7 linked regions of the Xenopus tropicalis genome follow. The protein of the gene in region 5 purifies or fractionates together with the protein of the main gene of each other region. This does not show direct contact. Links are inferred from orthologs where the notes say so. Each region holds a gene or a part of one and is shown on either strand. Other genes may lie near its edges.

What was found.
Region 1: the proteins of gdi1 (region 5) and rab10 purify together in Homo sapiens (co-immunoprecipitation; 4 studies listed by BioGRID and IntAct, counting the BioPlex papers as one, with this or other methods). This does not show direct contact. The link is inferred for Xenopus tropicalis from reciprocal best matches to the Homo sapiens genes GDI1 and RAB10.
Region 2: the proteins of gdi1 (region 5) and rab14 purify together in Homo sapiens (affinity purification with mass spectrometry; 3 studies listed by BioGRID and IntAct, counting the BioPlex papers as one, with this or other methods). This does not show direct contact. The link is inferred for Xenopus tropicalis from reciprocal best matches to the Homo sapiens genes GDI1 and RAB14.
Region 3: the proteins of gdi1 (region 5) and rab5a purify together in Homo sapiens (affinity purification with mass spectrometry; 3 studies listed by BioGRID and IntAct, counting the BioPlex papers as one, with this or other methods). This does not show direct contact. The link is inferred for Xenopus tropicalis from reciprocal best matches to the Homo sapiens genes GDI1 and RAB5A.
Region 4: the proteins of gdi1 (region 5) and rab35 purify together in Homo sapiens (affinity purification with mass spectrometry; 3 studies listed by BioGRID and IntAct, counting the BioPlex papers as one, with this or other methods). This does not show direct contact. The link is inferred for Xenopus tropicalis from reciprocal best matches to the Homo sapiens genes GDI1 and RAB35.
Region 6: the proteins of gdi1 (region 5) and rab5b purify together in Homo sapiens (affinity purification with mass spectrometry; 3 studies listed by BioGRID and IntAct, counting the BioPlex papers as one, with this or other methods). This does not show direct contact. The link is inferred for Xenopus tropicalis from reciprocal best matches to the Homo sapiens genes GDI1 and RAB5B.
Region 7: the proteins of gdi1 (region 5) and rab8a purify together in Homo sapiens (co-immunoprecipitation; 6 studies listed by BioGRID and IntAct, counting the BioPlex papers as one, with this or other methods). This does not show direct contact. The link is inferred for Xenopus tropicalis from reciprocal best matches to the Homo sapiens genes GDI1 and RAB8A.

Annotation. Positions count from the first base shown.
Region 1 is NC_030681.2:154,267,814-154,272,063, forward strand, and holds the start of rab10 (ras-related protein Rab-10), read left to right. Parts: upstream 1-1,450; 5' UTR 1,451-1,598; coding exon 1,599-1,725; intron 1,726-4,250. UniProt on the Homo sapiens protein: The small GTPases Rab are key regulators of intracellular membrane trafficking, from the formation of transport vesicles to their fusion with membranes.
Region 2 is NC_030684.2:9,756,468-9,759,967, forward strand, and holds part of rab14 (ras-related protein Rab-14), read left to right. Parts: intron 1-977; coding exon 978-1,155; intron 1,156-1,239; coding exon 1,240-1,306; intron 1,307-1,716; coding exon 1,717-1,804; intron 1,805-2,022; coding exon 2,023-2,053; intron 2,054-3,109; coding exon 3,110-3,287; 3' UTR 3,288-3,500.
Region 3 is NC_030682.2:45,585,571-45,589,070, reverse strand, and holds part of rab5a (ras-related protein Rab-5A), read right to left. Parts: intron 2,690-3,500; coding exon 2,567-2,689; intron 1-2,566. UniProt on the Homo sapiens protein: The small GTPases Rab are key regulators of intracellular membrane trafficking, from the formation of transport vesicles to their fusion with membranes.
Region 4 is NC_030677.2:151,500,747-151,503,512, forward strand, and holds the end of rab35 (ras-related protein Rab-35), read right to left. Parts: coding exon 2,679-2,766; intron 2,585-2,678; coding exon 2,460-2,584; intron 1,413-2,459; coding exon 1,284-1,412; 3' UTR 501-1,283; downstream 1-500. UniProt on the Homo sapiens protein: The small GTPases Rab are key regulators of intracellular membrane trafficking, from the formation of transport vesicles to their fusion with membranes.
Region 5 is NC_030684.2:153,597-157,096, reverse strand, and holds part of gdi1 (rab GDP dissociation inhibitor alpha), read right to left. Parts: coding exon 3,464-3,500; intron 3,124-3,463; coding exon 3,024-3,123; intron 2,806-3,023; coding exon 2,671-2,805; intron 2,196-2,670; coding exon 1,997-2,195; intron 1,836-1,996; coding exon 1,704-1,835; intron 600-1,703; coding exon 500-599; intron 1-499. UniProt on the Homo sapiens protein: Regulates the GDP/GTP exchange reaction of most Rab proteins by inhibiting the dissociation of GDP from them, and the subsequent binding of GTP to them. Promotes the dissociation of GDP-bound Rab proteins from the membrane and inhibits their activation.
Region 6 is NC_030678.2:137,846,644-137,850,143, forward strand, and holds part of rab5b (ras-related protein Rab-5B), read right to left. Parts: intron 1,645-3,500; coding exon 1,493-1,644; intron 583-1,492; coding exon 460-582; intron 1-459. UniProt on the Homo sapiens protein: The small GTPases Rab are key regulators of intracellular membrane trafficking, from the formation of transport vesicles to their fusion with membranes.
Region 7 is NC_030677.2:104,435,911-104,439,410, forward strand, and holds part of rab8a (ras-related protein Rab-8A), read left to right. Parts: intron 1-63; coding exon 64-153; intron 154-1,390; coding exon 1,391-1,456; intron 1,457-3,343; coding exon 3,344-3,394; intron 3,395-3,500. UniProt on the Homo sapiens protein: The small GTPases Rab are key regulators of intracellular membrane trafficking, from the formation of transport vesicles to their fusion with membranes.

The sequences.
Region 1 (4,250 bases), on a different chromosome or scaffold from region 5:
GCTACTGTGTATGGGGGGGCACTGTGTATGGGGGGCACTGTGTATGAAGGGCTACTGTGTATGGGGGGGCACTGTGTAAGGAGGGCTACTGTGTATGGGGGGGCACTGTGTATGGGGGGCACTGTGTAAGGAGGGCTACTGTGTATGGGGGGGCACTGTGTATGGGGGGCACTGTGTAAGGAGGGCTACTGTGTATTGGGGGCACTGTATGGGGGGGCACTGTATGGGGGGGCACTGTGTAAGGAGGGCTACTGTGTATGGGGGCACTTTCTATGGGGGCATTGTGTATGGAGGGTACTTTCTATGGGGTGCTGTCTATTGGGCCATCGTGGGCACTATTTTAACTATTTTAAAAATGGGGTGTGGCAATTGGGGCGTGGCCAAAATTTTTGGGAGGTATGCACTACCCCTGCCCTATGCCTCCTCTCCAGTTACTGGCATGGCTGATGTTTCCCTGCCCTCTGTGCCCAGTCCATGAGGTTATTGTAGTTTTGCAGCTTCAGCAAAGAGGAATAGAAAAGGGAGCTTCTGTCTACCCAATTGCATGCTGGGTAATGTAGTTTTATATTAATCTTATTCTGTAGGCTAATTGTAAGAGACAAACTACATTACCCAGCATGCACTGAGATGCAAGGGGAAACAAATCCTTGACTAGTTCCCAAACTACAAACCTGCCAAGACTCCAAAAACAGTCCAAATTTGTACCTTGTTGGGTTTGTACTTTGGAAACCCGCCCAATAAGTAGCCCAATTTGGTGGAAAACCCGCCAACCTGGCAACCCTGCCCCTCCCCGTCTGACTTTGGTACCGAACCGTGATTGTCATGTAACTGCCTAATGTATAAAGTTGGATTAAGAAAAAAAAAATCCCTTAGGAGACAGGCGGTAGCGCGCAAACCATCAGGCTGAGGGGAGTGGCCGCCATTTTGTTGACTGCATCGCAAGGTGGGCGGTGCCTGCTCTGTTGGGACGCGCAGAGGCCAGCATTCAGCCAGTGTATGGTTGCGCGCTCCCGCGGTGGGCGGTGCCTGCTCTGTTGGGACGCGCAGAGGCCAGCATTCAGCCAGTGTATGGTTGCGCGCTCCCGCGGTGGGCGGTGCCTGCTGTGTGGTGACGCGCAGAGGCCAGCATTCAGCCAGTGTATGGTTGCGCGCTCCCGCGGTGGGCGGTGCCTGCTCTGTGGGGACGCGCAGAGGCCTAGGGAGAGGCCTGCATTTAGCCAGTGTATGGTTGCGCGCTCCCGCGGTGGGCGGCGCCTAGCTGTGGTGAGTACGCGGAAAGTCTGTGGGAGGGATAGCCATTTTGTCCGGAGTCTCCCAGCGAGGCCGGAGAGGAGGGGCTCAGAGAAGGTGGGAAGAGGCCGGGACAAGCAGGCGGCACTTAGCGAGCCGAGAAGCGCACTGAGCTGGGTGTGGGGCCGCCGGCTTTCTTTCTCTTTTCCCCTGTGTGTGCGTGTGCTTCACCCGGTGCTGGGGGCACCCTCCGGCCGGACAGTCTCCCGTCCCGTCCCCGCTGGGCCTCCCCGCCCCCCCGTGTATGAGGAGCCGGCCGAGCCGAGGCCGCAGCCCCAGGCGGAGGGAGTGAGACGGAAACAGTGCCCATGGCGAAAAAGACGTACGACCTGCTCTTCAAGCTGCTGCTGATCGGGGACTCCGGGGTGGGCAAGACCTGCGTGCTCTTCCGCTTCTCGGACGATGCCTTCAACACCACCTTCATCTCTACCATCGGTAAGCGCAGGGGGGCCCGGGTGGGCTCATTGGCTATGGGGGGGGGGGGCTTTGCTCCTCCCCTTGGGTCATCTGAGAGGGGCAACTTCGGGTTTGATGGGTAACTGACAGTAGGCAACTAACCTACATGGGGCATTGCCAGCTGTCCCTATGGGCATATTGACTGGTCCCTATGGGCATATTGACTGGTCCCTATGGGCAGCTGATAGGGACATATTGACTGGTCCCTATGGGCAGCTGATAGGGGCATGTTGACTGGTCCCTATGGGCAGCTGATAGGGGCATATTGACTTGTCCCTATGGGCAGCTGATAGGGACATATTGACTGGTCCCTGTGGGCATATTGGGCATATTGACTGGTTCCTATGGGCAGCTGATAGGGGGACATTGACTTGTCCCTATGGGCAGCTGATAGGGACATATTGACTGGTCCCTGTGGGCATATTGGGCATATTGACTGGTTCCTATGGGCAGCTGATAGGGGCATATTGACTGGGCCCTATGGGCAGCTGATAGGGGCATATTGACTGGTTCCTATGGGCAGCTGATAGGGGGACATTGACTGGTCCCTATGGGCAGCTGATAGGGGGACATTGACTGGTCCCTATGGGCAGCTGATAGGGACATATTGACTGGTTCCTATGGGCAGCTGATAGGGGGATATAGACTGGTCCCTATGGGCAGCTGATAGGGGGATATTGACTGGTCCCTATGGGCAGCTGATAGGGGCATGTTGACTGGTCCCTATGGGCAGCTGATAGGGGCATATTGACTTGTCCCTATGGGCAGCTGATAGGGACATATTGACTGGTCCCTGTGGGCATATTGGGCATATTGACTGGTTCCTATGGGCAGCTGATAGGGGCATATTGACTGGTTCCTATGGGCAGCTGATAGGGGCATATTGACTGGTTCCTATGGGCAGCTGATAGGGGGACATTGACTGGTCCCTATGGGCAGCTGATAGGGGGACATTGACTGGTCCCTATGGGCAGCTGATAGGGACATATTGACTGGTTCCTATGGGCAGCTGATAGGGGCATATTGACTGGTTCCTATGGGCAGCTGATAGGGGGACATTGACTGGTCCCTATGGGCAGCTGATAGGGACATATTGACTGGTTCCTATGGGCAGCTGATAGGGGGATATAGACTGGTCCCTATGGGCAGCTGATAGGGGGATATTGACTGGTCCCTATGGGCAGCTGATAGGGGCATGTTGACTGGTCCCTATGGGCAGCTGATAGGGGCATATTGACTTGTCCCTATGGGCAGCTGATAGGGACATATTGACTGGTCCCTGTGGGCATATTGGGCATATTGACTGGTTCCTATGGGCAGCTGATAGGGGCATATTGACTGGTTCCTATGGGCAGCTGATAGGGGGACATTGACTGGGCCCTATGGGCAGCTGATAGGGGGACATTGACTGGTCCCTATGGGCAGCTGATAGGGACATATTGACTGGTTCCTATGGGCAGCTGATAGGGGCATATTGACTGGTTCCTATGGGCAGCTGATAGGGGGACATTGACTGGTCCCTATGGGCAGCTGATAGGGACATATTGACTGGTTCCTATGGGCAGCTGATAGGGGGATATAGACTGGTCCCTATGGGCAGCTGATAGGGACATATTGACTGGTTCCTATGGGCAGCTGATAGGGGCATATTGACTGGTTCCTATGGGCAGCTGATAGGGGGACATTGACTGGTCCCTATGGGCAGCTGATAGGGGCATATTGACTGGTCCCTATGGGCAGCTGATAGGGGCATATTGACTGGTCCCTATGGGCAGCTGATAGGGGCATATTGACTGGTCCCTATGGGCAGCTGATAGGGGCATATTGACTGGGCCCTATGGGCATATTGACTGGGCCCTATGGGCATATTGACTGGGCCCTATGGGCATATTGACTGGGCCCTATGGGCATATTGACTGGGCCCTATGGGCATATTGACTGGGCCCTATGGGCATATTGACTGGGCCCTATGGGCATATTGACTGGGCCCTATGGGCATATTGACTGGGCCCTATGGGCATATTGACTGGGCCCTATGGGCATATTGACTGGGCCCTATGGGCATATTGGGGACATTGACTGGGCCCTGTGGGCAGCTGATAGGGGGACATTGACTGGTCCCTGTGGGCAGCTGATAGGGGGACATTGACTGGTCCCTGTGGGCAGCTGATAGGGGGACATTGACTGGTCCCTGTGGGCAGCTGATAGGGGGACATTGACTGGTCCCTGTGGGCAGCTGATAGGGGGACATTGACTGGTTCCTATGGGCAGCTGATAGGGGGACATTGACTGGTCCCTATGGGCAGCTGATAGGGCCTGGTAGGTCTGTGCCACACACAGACAAGTTAGAAGTAAGTAACCATTGTACTGCCCCATGTACAGACATGTCAGTGGGCTACAGACCTTATGTTACCCCTGTTAGGAGTCACCTGCTCACAGAGCCATAGTCGCTGGGATTCGTCTCCCTGTTCCCAGCCCTCACTGGTGGATTAGCACTTTCCTTT
Region 2 (3,500 bases), about 9.6 Mb from region 5:
GAGCTTACAATCTAAGGTCCCTATCACATTCCCATCAGTCCCTGCCCCAGTGAGCTTACAATCTAAGGTCCCTATCCCATTCCCATCAGTCCCTGTACCAGTGAGCTTACAATCTAAGGTCCCTATCACATTCCCATCAGTCCCTGCCCCAGTGAGCTTACAATCTAAGGCCCCTATCCCATTCCCATTAGTCCCTGCCCCAGTGTGCTTACAATCTAAGGTCCCTATCACATTCCCATCAGTCCCTGCCCCAGTGAGCTTACAATCTAAGGCCCCTATCACAGTCACACACATTAGGGGCATAACTGTATATACATATAAGTACAATATGGCAGGTACTGTACCTGAGCCCAAGGCTTTGGAAGAAACCATCTCCCCCCCCTGGTGCTGTCTCTTGGCACTGCCCCCGCCCAATATCCCATAGCCGGGATTAAACCCATCCATTATGTATGAGCCGCCCGACTCCCCAGCATCTGCCATGTTGTTTTTTTTTTTTTTTAGTTAATAATGTTTATAGTGATTTTTGTGACTTGACTTGCTGTTTATTTCCCGCTATCAACGATTTTAACCCATGTTTTACTGGTACTGCCAGTAGCAGTTACTTAGTAGTGCCATTGTCCGTACATTTCACTGCTGGTTCTGACTACTGAGGCCTGTAAAGAAGCGAAGCAGCCCTGAGCTGTGTATGGTTAAAGGCAGGGCCCAAGGGGCAGCCGAGTGGAAAATGGAAAGTAAACATGTGTAAAGGGGAAGCTGTCACAGCAGGAAGTGCGTAGTTCTGTAAATAAGGGCAGGTTACCTATTGGGCCGGATCGGCTAATGTTAGTATTGGGGGGAGGACACTGTGGGTAAGTTACCGTCTCCTCCCCTGAGGCTATGGGGGATACATATTAACCCTAAACACCTGGAATTGATACACCCCCATGGGGGCATTGCTCCATCAGACCTGCTATAACCCAATCTCTGTACCCGCACAGTTATGGCCGACTGCCCCCATACGATCGGCGTGGAATTCGGCACCCGGATCATCGAAGTCAGCGGGCAGAAAATCAAACTGCAGATCTGGGACACAGCGGGGCAGGAGCGGTTCCGGGCCGTCACGCGGAGCTATTACAGAGGCGCGGCCGGGGCACTTATGGTCTATGACATCACTAGGTGAGTGGCGCCATCCTGCCCCTGGTACGTAGCCACTTGGCCAGCGCTGGTTGCTAATGAGATCGCTCTATTGGTTGCTTGCAGGAGAAGCACATACAATCATTTAAGCAGTTGGCTGACAGATGCACGGAACCTCACCAATCCAAATACGGTAAAGTCCAACCCAAAATCCACTGGCTTTGTACTGTATGTAGGGGGGGGGGTACTACTACTTCCTGTCCTAAACCATCCAACCATGTGACACTTTCATATGGAATGGATGAACCCCAGGGGTTTCCGTATGCAGGGCTAGAAGCCAAAAAATCCAACAATTCTCTATTGTTAGTGGTTTCTGGGACACTTGCAGTTTAAGACTGCTAATACCAGACTTGCAGCCCACTCGGTAGGTCAGTGTCAGCGACCCTTTGTGCACTTCCTGCATTTAGTTAACCCTATGGTTGCCGACTGAGACTTTCCGAGAGAGCTGCTGAGCCAAAAGCCCAGTTTTAGCAGTCTAAAACTGCAAATATTTAAGCAACCACTAACAGCCAATAACAAGGGCATTTCCCCTCTCGCTCGCAGGTTATCATCCTTATAGGAAACAAAGCAGATCTAGAAGCTCAGAGGGACGTTACCTACGAGGAGGCAAAGCAGTTTGCTGAAGAGAATGGTGAGTTCTTACCTCATTGCCATAGGGAGCTAGGACCCTGAGCCAACCCCATCTGTGGCCAAGTCTGTAGGATTTACCCCAATGTCCCCCAACAGATTGCACCGGGGAGGGTAAATGCTACTTGCTGATTGGCTGCTTTGGGTTACTAGCCCCGGTTTGCCCTTTGTTGATTGGTTTGTCAGATGGTACAGTCATTTTTGTTTTTGTATCTCCCACAGGTCTCCTGTTCCTTGAAGCAAGTGCAAAAACGTAAGTACATTTTGCTTTTCTTATCAGGTGGCCAATCCTATCTTTGTTCCTGTAAAAACCTCCAGAACTGAATCCTGGGAATGGTACATCCCAACATCCCCCCCCCCCCCATGTGCCCAGTAAATAGGCCATTCTGCCAATGGAAAGAGACCTTTCGTTTTTATTTCTTGCCCTAAAATGCTCAGAACAGTGACATTCAAAGCACTTTCTGATTGTTATTATACATGTTGAAGCCACCTTGCTTGTGGGAGGGGTCCCGTAGGATGCTTGTGGGGCCCTGTAGGATGCTTGTGGGAGGGGCCGCCCCGTAGGATGCTTGTGGGAGGAGGGGCCCTGTAGGATGCTTGTGGGAGGAGGAGCCCTGTAGGATGCTTGTGGGAGGAGGGGCCGCCCCGTAGGATGCTTGTGGGAGGAGGGGCCCTGTAGGATGCTTGTGGGAGGAGCCCCCCCGTAGGATGCTTGTGGGAGGAGGGGCCGCCCCGTAGGATGCTTGTGGGAGGAGCCCCCCCCGTAGGATGCTTGTGGGAGGAGGGGACCCCCCCCCCCCCCGTAGGATGCTTGTGGGAGGAGGAGCCCCCCCCGTAGGATGCTTGTGGGAGGAGGAGCCCCCCCCGTAGGATGCTTGTGGGAGGAGGAGCCCCCCCCCCGTAGGATGCTTGTGGGAGGAGGGGCCCCCCCGTAGGATGCTTGTGGGAGGAGGGGCCCCCCCGTAGGATGCTTGTGGGAGGAGGGGCCCCCCCGTAGGATGCTTGTGGGAGGAGGGGCCCCCCCGTAGGATGCTTGTGGGAGGAGGGGCCCCCCCGTAGGATGCTTGTGGGAGGAGGGGCCCCCCCGTAGGATGCTTGTGGGAGGAGGGGCCCCCCCGTAGGATGCTTGTGGGAGGAGGGGCCCCCCCGTAGGATGCTTGTGGGAGGAGGGGCCCCCCCATAGGATGCTTGTGTCTCCCTTCCTCATCCTCAATATTGCAAGATTTGCATCTCTCACAATTGAATGCCCCCCCCCCCCCCCCGGCTGCTCCCACAAACCCCCCCTGATTGGCCCTTTCTTTCCTTCCAGAGGGGAGAATGTGGAAGACGCATTCCTGGAGGCAGCCAAAAAGATCTACCAGAACATCCAGGACGGGAGCCTCGATCTGAACGCAGCGGAATCTGGCGTACAACACAAACCGTCCGCTCCCCAGGGCGGCCGACTAACCAGCGAGCCCCAACCCCAGAGAGAAGGCTGCGGCTGTTAGTGACGTCCCCCCCCCCCTTCCTACCCCCGGCGGTGGCAGTTCGTTTCTTGACCTTCCCCCGCTCTGTCTGTCCCAAGCAGTATTTTGTTACTGCCCCATTATCTTCTGTACATTCTATTGGTTTAAATTAAAGGTGGGAGGGCGGGGCTCTGCTAAGACGACAGTTTAACCCGATACTAAACTGCTAAATAACTAGATGTATTCAGGTTATTC
Region 3 (3,500 bases), on a different chromosome or scaffold from region 5:
CAAGCACTTGCAGTGATTGCCTGCTACTAATTCTATGCAGCATTGGCAGGGTACCCAAGGAAAGATTGTATACACATACAAGAGTGCAAAAGATAAAGCAGACACAGTCATGTCTGTGTAACAGTGAAGATGGTCCCAGAGATGATAAAGTGCAATATGAAAGGCAAGTGCAAATCAGTATGCAGCATTTTCCTCCAGAATTTCTGCTTAATAATGGGCGCTACAACATGTGCATCACTTACCTACGTGGCACAGTTTTTTGTTAGTCTATGTAGGTGTCCCCTTTCCTGTTCCATTGATGCACATGGTGACATAAGCTTTATTAGTAGTGATGTGCGGGACAAGAAAAAGTTCACTTGCATCCAACCCTAACCTGCCCGCTCCCAGCCCAACAATCCACCTCTATTTATAGATCTGCCCCTATCCCTAACATCATGAAGGGACAGGGTTTGGCAGGCGCGCAACTATAAATAGAGACAGCTGGAAGTGGGGCACAGTAAGGTTGCAGGCCTGCAACCCACAAATGTTATGCTAATTCCAGCCTGAAATTGCCCATCCTAATCACTAGCATGCGATTTAAGGTAAATAGAGTTAAACCACTGGAGTACTGGAATGAGAGGGGGTCTATAGTATCAAAGGCAGTGGAAAAATAAAAATAAAGGGAGGAAGAAAACTTCTAATACTAATCCAAATTCCTGGGGTCTATCAAAGTAAAAATGATCAACCATAGCAACATTCTTTTCAGATGAAAGATACATAGACTGGAGCAAAGTAAATAAGTGAAGCTTATGTAAAAATGAAATGCATAATACCCCAGCTAAAATGAGCATTGGGTAAAGGAGAACCAGGCTAAAAGGCAAAGAGTAAACAAGGGCACGGTAGTAAATGACTGGTTTGTACACGTGGGAAGAAAGAACTAAAAACAAGCAGCTCTCCTGCCTTCACATACAAATGAGCTGGAATCTTGAGGTACTTGCATTCTCAGCTCTATTCTATACACGGTGATAGAATTTGAGAAAGGATGTCATTTTGGTGAGCCACCTTGGGTGTTGCATTTTGTGGTCATTCATCAGGAAACCAGATGCTATCAAATACCTGGCCTAAATAGGTATATGATGCGGATACGGTTAATAAGCCTGAGGAAGTGAACTATATTAAAACAAGACAAAGTTATCAAAAGGACTAACATAGCCAAAATACATTACTGAGTCTTAAGAGCTAATTTGCAATGTGATCATATAACTAAAGTAAATAGTTTCACTTGTGTCAGGTGTGTTCGGGCCTCTCTGACCTCTCCACACCATTACATGCTCCACTAGAGAAATTAATATGGACAAAAGTACCATAATTTATATAGTATATTTTCTGCACCAGCCCTAAACTTTCAGCATCTCAATAGCAGCAATGATCCAGTACTTCAAACTTGTCACAGGAGCTCTCCATTTTGGAAAGTGTCTGCGACACGCAAATGCTGAGTATGTTCTAAGCAACTGTGCAGAAGCAGACAATGAGGTTGGCCTATAATATAAGCTGATGCTACAGGACTGTTTATTAAATTTCTGCTAAGTACACTGGTTTCAGAGCTGCAATGTAGTAATTAACTGTAATTATTACTAACCAGCCTTATATTGTGACATTTATATTCTTTATATACAGTAAATTGTGTGTCGGTCCCTAAGCTCATAAAGTGACAGCAGCACAGAGCATGTGCTTAAAATTAATAGAAAAGAAGATGGGGAGCTACTGGGGCATCTTCCCTGCTAAAGGGCTGGGTAAAAAATGTGAGCTGTATCTGTTGGAACTTTACAAACATAATGAATTAAAAACTCTATCATTTTTGAAAATAAAAATCAAATTCAGTTGCAGCCACTCCTGTTTCGCTCCATGCAGTAATTAGGGCAGCTTTAGACTGGCCGTTTTGTCAAACCCATTGGTATGATGTCCCTTTACCTACACGATATGGCTCATTTACCAACTTGGGTGCCATTTTTTTTGCTCCCTCCCTTCATCCCATGGTGAACGTCTGCAGGTCTCTGCACCTCATTTTAGAGCACAAAGACCAGCAGCAACCCCCATAAATACAGCATTGCCTGCGTGTGGCACTGCTGCATTCATAATGTAATAAAGCTTATTGCCTTTCAACAGATCCTACTACAGCATAAAGTTGAGAGAGACACATTGCTGAGGGGTAGTAGTAGTAGTAGGGTAGTAAAGAATAATTTAATTAGCTACAGAATTTTTAGTAGATTATAAAGGTATGGATCTCTTATCTAGAAACTGAATATTCCAAAAGCTCCAAATAATTGGAAGGCCATCTCCCATAGTCCATTTTTAAGGGATAGTGACAGGTTTTAACAGGAATGTGTCACTATGCCTACGTAAACCCCAGCACCACTAACAGATGTACACCCCTGCCTCCCCCCACCTCACACTAATCTTACTAGCTTGGGGCGAAACAACATTCTGCTAGGCTGGAGGACAAATGTAAACAGTGCCTCAGCCAATTAGAACATTGTCAAGCCCCCACGATGTTCAATTGAAAGCGGAACCAGAGACCGGTACTTACTTGAAAATCCACAGCTCTCTTTGAGGCCAGATCAGCTTTGTTACCAGATAAAGCTATCACAATATTGGGGCTTGCCTGTCTCTGCAGCTCTTTTACCCAGTTCTTTGCTCTAGCAAATGATTCCTGTAAATAAAAAAAAAAGAGTGCGTGAAGTTGAATAAACTAAGCCTGTCCCACCTACACAATTGTGCTGATGCTTACAGAATATAGTATAGGGGGAAGAGAGAGAGCAACTCCATCTTAGTAAATCATAAAATTATATAAGGTTTATACACACATGCAAAAAACTTAAGCACTGATTTTACTTGGGGATCCTAACATTTTGGCACCCCCTAGTGAAACAGGCTTTCCTTGTCCTTTAAAATGTGCTTTGCAAATGCATATAATATTGTGAAATTTGAAGTGGTGGTTCACCTTTAAGTTAACTTTTAGTATGCTGGAGAGCTGCTGAACAAAAAGATAAATAATTCAAAAACCACAAATAAAAAAATGAAAACTAACTGCACACTGTCTCAAAATAGCACTCCCTACAGCATACTAAAAGTTAATTCAAATGTGAAAAACCACTTTAAGGCAAACTGAGCAATACTCATGAGTGTTCCTTCAAGCTTTTCCAATACACTGCATTAGTAAGTGGGTTTAAAAAAACCAGTGTACAATTGTGAGATACATTACAGATGCATATCACACTTTAGCTACATTTCCATTTATATTATAATATATATATATATATATATATATATATATATATATATATATATATATATATATATATATATATATATATATATATATATATATATATATATATATGCTGTTCATGTATTTTTCAATATATAATTAATTGTTTGCAATAGATCCGGTGTTGCTGGTCTTTTTTTCTAATTATATATATATATATATATATATATATATATATATATATATATATATA
Region 4 (2,766 bases), on a different chromosome or scaffold from region 5:
AAGTGTTAGTATTTTGTTCCAATTAAATGTATTTTCTACTTGTGAGATCAAAATGCTTTTGTTAAGAGGATTTTCTCCTTCGTGAATATTTTGCACTTTGCGCTACCTGTTTCTAGTCACTCCCAAGCTTCCTTTGTTACACTAGCAGCAGAAATTCCAGGTTTCTTAATTATGTCCCAAGCTGCTTGGGTTGCAGGGAACAGAGTCCTACCTCTGGTCTTCCAGACAGAGCACAGCGGAACCATAGAAACCTGTTCCTTCCAGTCCATGTACTGACAAATGCTCTGTGTACATAGACATTTTCTAATGAATACAGATGTTTTCTAATATATATATACAGAAAAAATGTCCTATTTTAGTACAAATTATGCTTTCTATTGTAAAGCCACTGAAATAAAATATTTCTATGAATTTCCGTCTCAGTGTTTGTCTGCCCAGCACTTGTGAGGTTTGATTCTTCACACAGGACCAATACAGTTGCTACACAAACAATGCTTACATTTTTTTTTTCTTTTTGTCTTTAAATCAGGACCCGGAGGTTCACATTTTATTAGTTCGTTCCTATTTATGAACAAGATGGTACAAAAATTTGGCAGATTTTTTCCATAATTTTTTACTTAAATTCACATGGTTCTTGAATAGGTGGAAATATTGATGGGATCCACCCACCCGTTGTTTAAAAACAGAATTACGCTGGAAGTCGTAAATCCTGGTCTGGACAATGGAATAGCTGCATGGTTGATTTTTAGCATGTTTTTAAATATGGTGAGGAAAGGGGGCAGAGAAGTGAATTAACAGCAAGGCCTGGTCCATCTTACCATATCAGGTAGTAAAGAAACCAGGGGCAGGGCATAGTTAAGACGCCATCTGTTCTAAAAACTTTAAAAAGTGACCAGTTCATATTCACACATGACAGACTGGCGATAAGGTGTAAGCGAAAGCAGCAGGGGGGGGAGTGAGGCTGGTTAACACAATATACAGTATGTACAGACTCTTGTTAATCAGTCCATAGGGTAGGCACTGCATCCGTCCTTTCCTAGCAGACGCTCTGGAAGAGCAGGGGTGGCAGGGGATGACAAGAATCCACAACACCTTCTTGGCACAGCAATAAAAAGGGTGCCAGCGCCTCAATAGAAAACTTGGAGAAAATTCTTAAATAAACAGCACATAACTAAGAATATGCCCCAACCCCTGAAAGCTGGGCACTGCCCATGGCACTACTACTCTTTGTTCCAAGAGCGAATGTTCGGATTGAGAGCAGCCTCTCTGTGCTGTGCCTGCACCTAGCAGCATCGCTTCTTCCGTTTACTGTTTTTGCTTAGTTTCACCACATCATTCTGTTGCTGCTGCTGCTGTTTTGCTAGGTTGTCTTTCTTTGCTCGCAAGACCAGCTCAGTAATGCAGTTAAACATCTAGAAAAGAAAGAGAAATTAGAAATATGCTAAAAGTGTACACTTCTAAAAACAATTTGAAAAACCCACCCCTTTACTAGCAACTGCTGAATGTAAAGGAATAGAAATGCCACGGACTTAGTAAATCTGCCCCTTGGTGCAGCTACAGCAAACCCTAACTTTTCTCTTTTTTTTTCATTAAAAATAAACTCATCTCCAGGAATGGCTGACATTTGTGTATGTGTGGGAAAAAGTCACAGAAAAGTGGTAACTACGACTTTTTTTTTTTTTTATTTGCACCAAAACCTCAACTTTTTTAACTGTCACACAAAAAACACAGAATCAAAGTTTAGAAGCAAAGAAAAACCAGGGAAGGGAAGTCTACTATTGACTTCTACGTGACTTCAGCGACTTTTAGCCCTAAAAAATCTAAATCAGAACAATAAATGAAAATCCGTTGGTAAAATGGCCCCCCAAGTGATCACAATCTCCATTTACTCAAATGTAAACAATCCCTCTGAACCACTTTCCTGCAAGATGCACCTTCCTGACTCTGGAAAGGGCACGTTAGGGACTTATAGCCATGGCTTGGGATCAGTTCTAAAAAGCACAAAATATTCATGCCATTATGCATGCCATTTAAGCATTTCCCATGCTGTGTCAGCCTAAGAGAGTAGGGAAATGCTACCTATGAGTGAGAGGTAGACCATCATATTTTCCTCTCAACCTGAGGCATCCTGTATGTCTGTAAAAAATACATATATTTGGCAGATTAGATGGATTTATGTACAAAAGGTGTAGACACTAACTGAATGTCAAAACAAGTGTTTTTCACCCTTTAAAAAGGGGAAAACCTCCTTAAAAAAATCTAATTTACATACCACTTGACAGCCTTACCACATTTCTTGGGATTATCCCTGCTTTAGATAAGGGTTGCATGCCTGAAATCATTTTGCAGCTATTTTCTTATGTGGTCCCTTACACAATCCAGTGCCACAAAAGCAGCAGTGCCCTAAAATCTCCAGCAGGAAATGTAGCAGAGTATAATGCAGGTAGCAACTGACCTACCTCTTCAACATTTAAATTCTCTTTGGCGCTAGTCTCAAACAGTTGGATATCCATCTGCGCAGCAAACTTATAGGCATCCTCTGTCTCCACCACTTTCCGTTCAGGGTCATCATTCTTATTACCCACTAAATAAATAAGAAAACAAATAAATAAATGTTCGCCACCCCACCAACATTATATTGGAGTGATGTTAATTAGAAAGTTAAAATAGAAACTTACCTAATATTCTACATACATCATCACAATTTTGGTTTATTTCATGTAACCATCGTTTAACATTGACAAATGATTCTGCGCTGGTCACATC
Region 5 (3,500 bases):
AGGGCAAAATGGAGAGAGTAAGGCAAGATTGAGAGAGCAGGGCAAGATGGGGACAGTAGGGCAAGATGGGGACAGTAGGGCAAGATGGGGACAGTAGGGCAAGATGGAGACAGATGCAAAATAAAGACAGTAGGACAAGATGGAGACAGTATGGCAAGATGGAACACAACAGTACAAGATGGAGACAGCTGGGCAAGATGGAGAGAAGATGTAGACAAGTGAGCCAATATGGCACAGACACAGATGACACAGATAGCAGGACAAGATGGAAACAGGATGCAGACATTAGAGGAAGGTGGTGACGGCACTGCAAGATGGCAACAAGGGCAAGACAGATACTTTGAGGCAAAAGCAATGCAGCAGGGCAAGACAATGGCAGTAGAGCTAGATGTGACAGTGAGAAGCCATGGGGACCTGAACCCACTAACAGCCTTGACTGCAACCCTTCTAACAACCCCACTGAAATTCTGACTTACTGAAAATGCCCCTAAAACCTTACCTCTCCCTCTGATTTAACGCCAACCACTCGGCCTTTCTCCATTACAATCTCATCCACGGATTTGTTCAGCATGTAGGTTCCTCCATATATTGCACTTAGCCTACGGCAGAAACACATCAGCCGGGGTATTAGGGTTAGAGTGTACTCTCTGTAATGTACTACTTACCCGTATTGGTCACATGTATGTGTGTAACCCTAACATGTTTCCTTAGATACATGTTTCCTTAGATGTACAGTAATGAACAATAATAAATACAAATAAAAACAAATGCAGTTACATTAGAGATCAAAGAGACAAGAAGATGGAGATCCCTACCCCATAGAGCTAACGATCTAAGTGAACTGCTGCAGGTTACGGTGGGTAAACAGCTATATAAGTTCCAGTTCCCAGATTAGGGGCTGTGCAAGTGCCCCAAGAGGGGGTCTGTGAGTTTCGTTCTGAGGGGGGATTCTCACCGGGAGAATTCAGGGTGCCATTCCCAATGTAAGGGGTAGCAAGGCACAAAGCGTTAAAATGGCAGTAGTAATGGGGTTACAACCAAGCAGCTGCTCTGAGAGGAGCGAAGGAATCGGCCAGGAACGTATAGAGACACAAGAGATGGGGTGAGGGGCAGAGGAGTGGGGGGGAAGGTTATGGGAAGCCATGATAAGGGGAGGGGCCTGTACGCTCTTGGATGAGAGGGGGAGGAGTGTATGGAGACACAAGAGATGGAGTGAGGGGCAGAGGGATGGATATGAGCAGGCCTGGATTTGTGGAGAGGCCATAAAGGCCGAGGACTAGGGCGGCAAGTTCTCTCTATGGAGACACAAGAGATGGAGTGAGGGGCAGAGGGGTGGATATGAGCAGGCCTGGATTTGTGGAGAGGCCATAAAGGCCGAGGACTAGGGTGGCAAGTTCTCTCTATGGAGACACAAGAGATGGAGTGAGGGGCAGAGGGGTGGATATGAGCAGGCCTGGATTTGTGGAGAGGCCATAAAGGCCGAGGACTAGGGCGGCAAGTTCTCTCTATGGAGACACAAGAGATGGAGTGAGGGGCAGAGGGATGGATATGAGCAGGCCTGGATTTGTGGAGAGGCCATAAAGGCCGAGGCCTAGGGCGGCAAGTTCTCTCTATGGAGGCACAAGAGATGGAGTGAGGGGCCGAGGGGTGGATATGAGCACTAGGAGACACTAATGACACTAGGAGAATAAATATATACATACCTGGCAAAGCCCTGTGGCAGCTCCCCCAGCCCATACAAAGGGTACAAGTAGGGACTCTTGCCATATCTTGCCAAAGACTCGCTGTAAAGCTTAATGCGATTGATAGTTTCTAGGCAGGGTTGGTCCAAATAGCTGAAAATGGGAAGAAAAGAGCCTCTATCAGTTTGTATCTAGTCACAGTGTGGACATGACTGCTCATTGGATAGAATGACATGGAATTCTGCAGTGAGATGGAATAACCCCAGCTTATGCCCAAACCCTACAGAATGCCCCATCATCCTGCCCCAGCGTACTCATCGGTTCGGTACAGCGCCAGAGCGTGCCCAGTAAAGTCAATGACATCCTGTCCCAAATCAAACTTCTTGTATACGTCACGCATGGTTGTGTCCTTTGGATCCACCCCTTCAAACGTTTTGGGATCATTCTCATCGAAATTGGCTACAAATACCAGGAATTTACGGAACCGGCGCTTCTCAAACATCCCCATGAGATCTGGGTTGAAGTTACAGAAAAGAATAAAGTTAAGAAAACAGGACCAGCTCATATGATAATGGCACCATATCTAATTATTGTCTTGGCCCAGCCATCACTGGCACCCTGGGACCTGACCCTGTCCATCAGCCCTAAACATTTTCTAGACCCATCTTGGAACCCTAGGAACCTGCCTTATCCACCCCAGCATCACATCTAATGAGTTTCCACCATCATAGAACCCTAAGAACCCACTTGTGCCCAATTTTTTAGCAGCAGAGCTATTCATCTTCCAGGCCCAGTCATTACAGTGGAATCAGAAGAACCTGAACTTCTTCAACTGGCCATGCCACCATCTTGGAATCCCAGGAACCTGCCTCTGTCCAAACCATCTCAGCAGCAGTCCTAATCATCTTCTCTAGACCCACCTTGGAACCCTTTGGAACCTGCCCATGCCCAACCCAGCACCAGTTGTCCAGAACCCCAGGGCACTTACTGGATGCCAGCGCTTCTGTCTCAGTAGATGGCACCTTGTAGATCTTTCCACCTTTATATACAAAGCTTCCTTCTATAACCTTAAAGTCCAGGTAACGGGTAACTTCTGTGTAAAGCAGCATCTTCACAAGCTGACCTTAAATAGAGAGAGGGGTCCCCTAAATCCACTGTGCAGAAATGAAAGATTCAAACCTGCCATATAATAATCTCTAAGGTGCAAAATGATTGGGACCCCCAAAGCAGAACTGTTGGTAGATCCACAGGATTTCACTTTACTGCCAAGCTGTATAGAAGGGTGCCCCCACACACCGACATTCACAATGCAATCCCCCCACCCTCTGCATGTGAGCTTACCATTAGCCATGAGGAATTTAGGGATTAAATCCACGTTCCAGTCTCGTCCCCTTCCCATGCTCTCTGGGGGGCCATCAGCCATATCGAATCGTTTATAGAGCTGTTAATGGAAAAGCCAGAAAAAAGGAGAAGTGCGTGTGTGTGTGCGTGTGTGGGGGGGGGGGGGTAGTGGAGTTGCTTGTGGACAGTGCTGGACTTAATCAGTATCAATCAACAGTATGGTAGGAACATGTCATGAATAATAATGAAAGCTACAGAGAAGTGCGGTCCCTACTGGTGGGGTAAGGGTGCTGATGGGTACATAATGGGTGTAGGGCACTGGGCAGCAACTTGCTGGATAATGTGCCAAGGAGATAGAGAAAAGATTGTGGGTACAGCGGTTACTATTGCAGCTATAGAAAGTATTTCCTCCTTGGGGGGTGATATGGGGTAGAATATACCTCTTCCAGGGGAGTGATGGATGAACTCTCTCCTCCA
Region 6 (3,500 bases), on a different chromosome or scaffold from region 5:
TCTCATTATGTGCCTTTGCATAAGTGAACATGGCCATCGTGTCTTTTTCCTCTTCAGTTCTCTTTTTCTACTGTTCTTGGTTCATTTCTTTTAAATGTTTTTTTTTTTTTTTAAACTTATGGAAGCTAGGCCCAGACTGGCAATCTGTGGATTCTGGCAAATGCCGGAGGGGCTGCTGTAAGATGCCATAGACAGTCACTATTTATTGGGCTGGTGGGGGGCTGTTTGGGATTCTGTGTACATGAAATGCCAGAGCTTAATTTGAATCCCAGTCCTGGTCTGATGGAGGTAATAGGACAAACTGCTTAAGCAGGTATTTACTGCTTGTATGTTTGAAAAATATTTTAAGCTACAAATTTTATCTTCAGAACCTCTAACTAAATTAAATTTGGTACTGATACATAAATATTAGAGAATATACAATATGAATTAAGAAAGGTGACAGAAAGTACTACTTACTTCATACTCCACCATCCGTTTACTAGTGAGGTCAGCCTTGTTCCCTGACAAAGCTATCACAATGTTAGGACTGGCTTGCCTCTGTAACTCTTTTACCCATGTCTTGGCTCTGGCAAATGTTTCCTGCAGAATAAAATGAATACAACTGTGTAGATTAGTCAGCACTCACCACTCTTCTGTTGTTCATTATTCGGTGCCCTTTATATGTTGTCTGCACATCAACTGTATCAAAAACTAGTACTAGGTGTCACAGCACCATCAAAACTAACAAGTTTAAAAAGCTTTTATTGGAAATTCATGGCTCAGATTTCCACCAGCAAGCAGTGTGCTGCCGGAGATCTAAGCCATTGATTCCCAAAAGCTCTTTAAACTTCTTACTTATGATGGAGGTCTACTACTAGAATACAAATGAAAAGCAAACTCAAAATGTAGATGTGTTTCAAATTAGAAATGCTATAGGAAAGTGTTCATTGAATAGTGCAATTCAAAGCTTTTGTGGCAAATACAAAATACAAACTAAGTAATTTGCTGCTGGTTTGCCAACTAAATCAGAATTAAAAATGCAGCTCATTATGTTAGAGAAAAAGTAAGAAGGAGATCTCTACCCTGTAGAGCAGGGATCCCCAACCTTTTTTTTATTCATGAGCCACATTCAAATGTGAAAATACTTGGAGAGCAACACAATCATAAAACATTTTCCTGGGGGTGCCAAATAAGGGCTGTTATTGGCTATTTGGTAGCCCCTATGTGGACTGGCAGCCTACAGGAGGCTCTGTTTGGCAGTACACCTGTTTTTTATGCAACTAAAACTTGCCTCTAAGCCAGAAATTCAGAAATAAGCACCTGCTTTAAGGCCACTGGGAGCAACATCCAAAGGGTTGGAGAGCAACATGTGGCTCACGAGCCACTGGTTGGGCATCACTGCTGTAGAGCAAGTACACAATGAAAAATCCTTTCTAGGACGAGGTAGTCCCATGCTTTCAGCAGCACTTCAGTGCTAGAGTAAAGGCCTTTTGTGAATATAGTCCCTTACCTGGTTTGTGATATCATATACCACAATGGCAGCCTGTGCTCCCCGGTAATACATGGGTGCCAAGCTGTGGTATCGCTCTTGTCCTGCTGTATCCCAGATTTCAAATTTTACAGTTGTGTCATCCAGGCAGACAGACTGTGTGAGAAATGCCGCTGTGAAGGAGATTCAAGGAAACAAATCAACAAATCCTTTCTCCAGCCACACAGAGCCCAGTGTTCAACACTAACTAATGGGAATCTGCACTAAGGTATCTCATGCTATTAAATCCTACAGCTGGCTCTATTTATGATGCAATTTAATCATGCTGTTGATAGTGATAATCTTTGAATGTGTGTGAGTTTTTGTTTTTTTATTTGAGGTACATTCTACTGCCTTATCTGCTTTCTATTAGGTGTCCTCCTTAGGGGGGAGTTTACTAAGTATTTCCTTTTTATTCCTCCACAATCCATGTTTTTTTCCTTTTTTTTTTTTTTTTTTGCACTAAAACGAATACAAAACCTTGCCATGTAAAAGGTAAAAGTTGTTGAGGTCATGTTGAAGTTAGTGGTAGTTGTCCTATGCAAATTGTAACAATCTTTATTTGTGCTGTTATAGAATATGCAGGAAAAAACATGAAAAATTAATGGTTTTGGTTCTGAATTTTAAATCATTCATGCTTTTTATATTTGGATCTTTTAATAAATGACTAGACATTTGTGGTTTTTGTGGAAATGTGTTTATTCCCGATTTCAAAAAACTCTAAAACCACTAAACTCAATATGTTGATAAATTAGCCCTTAAGGTTTAGATTTAGCCAAAACATCTCTACAGCTTGTCTCATTACTGCATCTGAACAATTTGCTGCTTAAAGTGCAAAGTTCTTTGAAGCCACATATGCCACATGTTAAGAGTTACAATTCAGTTACGCTGAACTCCAAGAATCAAGCTGGTTTCATTCATAACTGCTATTTGATTGCTTCTCAAGCTTTTAAAGAAAAGAGGACTGTCAAGTCTTTCTTTTCTCCATATTGGCTTAAAATGGACTTGTTATTTTTTTGAGGTAGCAAAAGTTTAAGCATCAACAAAATTACTTTAGTTTCATAACTAGAAATACAGAGGAACATATTTAGAAAAAATTGCAGAAACAGATACACCTTTAAGGGAAGCTAGGAAATACCTTTCAAAAGAAATATAGTATTTACAGTAATATAGTAAGTTATGGTGAAAAAAGACACAGGTCCATCAAGTTCAATCTTTAAGCCTATATATAACCTGCCTAACTGCTAGTTGATCCAGAGGAAGGCAAAAAAAACCCCATCTGAAGCCTCTCTAATTTGCCTCAGAGGGTAAAAATTCCTTCCTGACTCCAAGATGGCAATCGGACCAGTCCCTGGATCACTGGTAAATAAAGCCTTAGAGAGGTTATTTTACGATCCCCTCATATTTATACACAGTTATCATATCCCCCTTAAGCTCCTCTTTTCCAACATAAAAAGACCCAGTTGTACATTCATCTCTTATTTAGAAAAAAGAAAAATGGAGATTGCCACAGTTCGCTGAACAACAAATTTCACAATACCCAATACATAGATTAACTATGCCTCTACAGCAGTGCTGTCCAACTTCTGTTGTACCGAGGGCCGGAATTTTTCCGACCTACGTGGTGGAGGGCCGATAATGGAAGCCAGTTTTGACCACTCCCCTTTTTGAAACCGCACCCACTTGAAACCACACCCATGTTATCACATGACCATACCCATATTAATGGTTGTAGTACAGCAAAAGCCTGCCATACTCTGCCTGCCCTACCCTGCCTGTGTGTGCCATACTCTGCCTTCACTACCCTGCCTGTGTGTGCCATACTCTGCCTGCCCTACCCTGCCTGTGTGTGCCATACTCTGCCTTCCCTACCCTGCCTGTGTGTGCCATACTCTGCCTTCCCTACCCTGCCTGTGTCTGCCATACTCTGCCTTCCCTACCCTGCCTGCGTGTGCCATACTTTCACTGTGTGTGCCATTCTTGGCTGGTT
Region 7 (3,500 bases), on a different chromosome or scaffold from region 5:
CATACTATTCTGACTGACAAGTTCTCGATGCAAATATAAACCTTTACACTCTTTGCCTTCCAGCATGCATCCTCTGATGTTGAGAAAATGATCCTAGGAAACAAATGTGATGTGAATGAAAAGCGACAAGTTTCCAAAGAGAAGGGTGAAAAGGTAAGAGTTATTTAACAGTTTTGGTGTTCTGATATCTGAGCTTAAAACCCATTAAGCTGTGAATAGGTAAACGAGCTATGAGGTCCTGTTTGGGTACATTTAAAAATATATGAAAAATAAGTTTCCAAATGCTTTATAACAATAACCAATCTTTAGCCCTTTTAAGTAGAAGAAAACTCTGAGCATTACTCTGCCAGGGCATAAAAATAGTGCATATCCACTCGCCAATCATCCCCCCCCCAAAAAAATATATATATATTATATATATATATATATATATATATATATATATATATATATAATTTATTTATTTGGCTGGTGTCACATGTGCTTAATGTAAGTGCTCCTGTAGTCCAAATTAGACTTGACATATTAAAGGAAGAATGAAGAGAGGAATGATGTTGTCAGTGGGATATATGTGCAAGGATATTCAGGGCAGGGTCATGTTAATACATGTTAACAGTTTTGCATAAAATAAATATGGTGTTGGGCAATGGGAAAGGCTGAGCAATTGTTTCTCAGTTTCCTTGGACTTTAATTTAAGTATTAACCTCAGGAAAATAGAATCTGGTGCATTTTTTTGTTCATATAGTTTAGAATATTACCCAGTATGTAGTAAGGTGAATATTGAAAGAATGAGGCTAAAGGATAGAGACATAAGAATGTGGTGCATTTGTTTAAAATATTTAGAGAAAATATAGAAGCATATCCATTACCAATTTTTTTTTTTCTGCCTCAAATAACTTCAATAGCCAGCACAAAACAGCATGCACTCGTCGGACTCCAGGACAGCGGATAAAAATTCAAAAAAGCTTTATTAAGGATAAAAACCTAACGGTTAGGTTTTTATCCTTAATAAAGCTTTTTTGAAATTTTATCCGCTGTCCTGGAGTCCGATGAGTGCATGCTGTTTTGTGCTGGCTATTGAAGTTGAATCTCCCCATGCTGCGGGTCTGGGGCATGGCACCCGGGCCACCAAAAGGAAGTGGTGAGTGAGCATCCTGCATTTTGAACTTACATATGAGCATAAATTCCCCAGAACAAAGAGAGAAAAAAGTGATAAGCGAAAGGTTTGCGGCATAAGCACCCGAACCTACTAATTAACTGGGTGAGCGCGAGCGCTAATTGAAATATAAATCAGTTTTTTTTTATCTGTAGTGGGAAGGACTGTGAGCCCCCGAACAAGCAAATAGTACAGTGCCTCAAATAACTAGCAATATCACTGTTTGTATTTCAGCTGGCCCTTGAATATGGAATTAAGTTCATGGAGACAAGTGCAAAGGCAAATATCAATGTGGAAAATGTAAGTAGACTGAACGTGCTTAATTCAGTAAGCGGGGAGAGTAATGTTCATTGGTAGACACCCTTAAAGGAACAGTAACACCAAAAAAATTCAAGTGTATGTACTGCTGCTCTGCACTGGTACAACTGGTGAGTTTGCCTCAGAAACACTACTATGGTTTATATAAAGAATGCAGCTGTGTAGCCATGGGGGCAGCCATTCAAAGGAGAAAAGGCACAGGCACTTAGCAGATAACAGAAACACTATTGTATTCTACAGAGCTTATCCGTTATCTGCTATGTAACCTGTGCCTTTTCTCCTTTTTTCCAGCTTGAATGGCTGCCCCCATGGCTACACAGCAGCTTATTTATATAAACTATAGTAGAGTTACTGTAGCAAACACACAACTTTTACCAGTGCAGGGCAACAGTACATTATATTTCTTTTACTTTAAAACTCTTAAATTTTTTGGTGTTACTGTTCCCTTAACAATCAAAACAGGTTAAAGTGAAGAGTGGTCAGCAAACAATATAGTCATAGGTTTTCTATAGTCAAAAAGGCAGTGGGTGTTTTATAGAAGTCCGAGCATTTTTCTGCAACTTTCCATATTCTTTCGTATCGGCAAAAAAAAAAGAAAAATCTGTAGTGCTGTGTAGTGAGAAAAAACCACGCAACATGGTACTGTACCCTGTGCCTGATGGCTCTTCATTGATGCAATCATTACCCAGCACTATAGGACAACCAATGGGGCACCAGAAAACGCCGGGATATTTTTTGGGGTAGAATGTTAACTCCCAATATTTATAACAACCCTTCCATATGGCCTTTTTGTTGTCTGTTTTGCCTTTTTAACCCTTTGTGCAATGGACTTAGTAACAGTTCCACATGTCAAAATAGAGCCCTGAAACATAGAATCTATAGTGTTGGTATGATACTTTTATGCGGACACAATAGTAGTTCCAAAATGGAGGCCCAAAGCTGCATCTAAGTGGGTCCAGGTTATGGTAAGATTTGTGGAATACCTATGCAAGTGTATGTATGAATATGAGTTTAGGGGGCCGTAACCAGAAATAATAACCTATATGTGTCTGATCTTTGTGTGTTGTGATTTATGTATGTATTTATTCCTGGAGAATCTAAAATAAATTTTTGTATGTTTTTAAGAAACCTCCACTTTTACTTCATGTTTGGGGTCAGTGTTTTGCCAGTGTTTTCATCTTTCTATATAGAGATACAAAGGGGCACATTTACTAACCCACGAACGGGCCGAATGCGTCCGATTGCGTTTTTTCCGTAATGATCGGTATTTTGCAATTTTTCTGAAAATTGACGCAACTTTTTCATAGCCATTCCGAATGTTGCGCAAAATGTTGCGATTTTTTCGTAGCCTTACGACTTGCGCGAAAAGTCGCGACTTTTTCGCAGCTTTCGCGCCGAGTACGAAAGATTCAGATTCATTCAAGCTTCAGCATGGTGACTTTTCTTGGGCCAGGTTGGAGCTGCAGGGTGCCATTGAGTCCTATGGGAGGCTTCCAAAATCATGCTAAGTCTGAAAGTTTCGCCCGCCGCTTACGAGCGCTCAATACGAAAAAGTCGCGACAAGATACGAGCGAATCGTAATGGCTACGAAAAACTCTCGTTTTTTCGCGCAAGTCGTAATGGTTACGAAAAAGTTGCGACAATTTCCGAAAAGTCGTAAAGGCGACTAAAAAATCGCAAAAAATACGAAAAAGTCGCAAAATGTTCGTTTTCCAGTCGGAATTTTTCCAATTCGAATTCGTGTCTTAGTAAATCAGCCCCAAAGAGTGTTTATTGTTGTCTAGTACTTGTACTATATAGGCAAGAGATTAAAGGAATCACCCACTCATAGTATTGCTTTTGATATCAAGTTCTTCTATCTTTTCACAGGCATTTTTTACATTGGCAAGAGACATCAAAGCAAAAATGGATAAGAGGATGGTAAGTATAAGTATTTAATGGCTGCTTTGTGCTCCTGTGCCAGATATTGGTACTAAAAAGCAGGTATTTAACACTTAATTTCCCACACTGGTCTGGGTTTCATAGC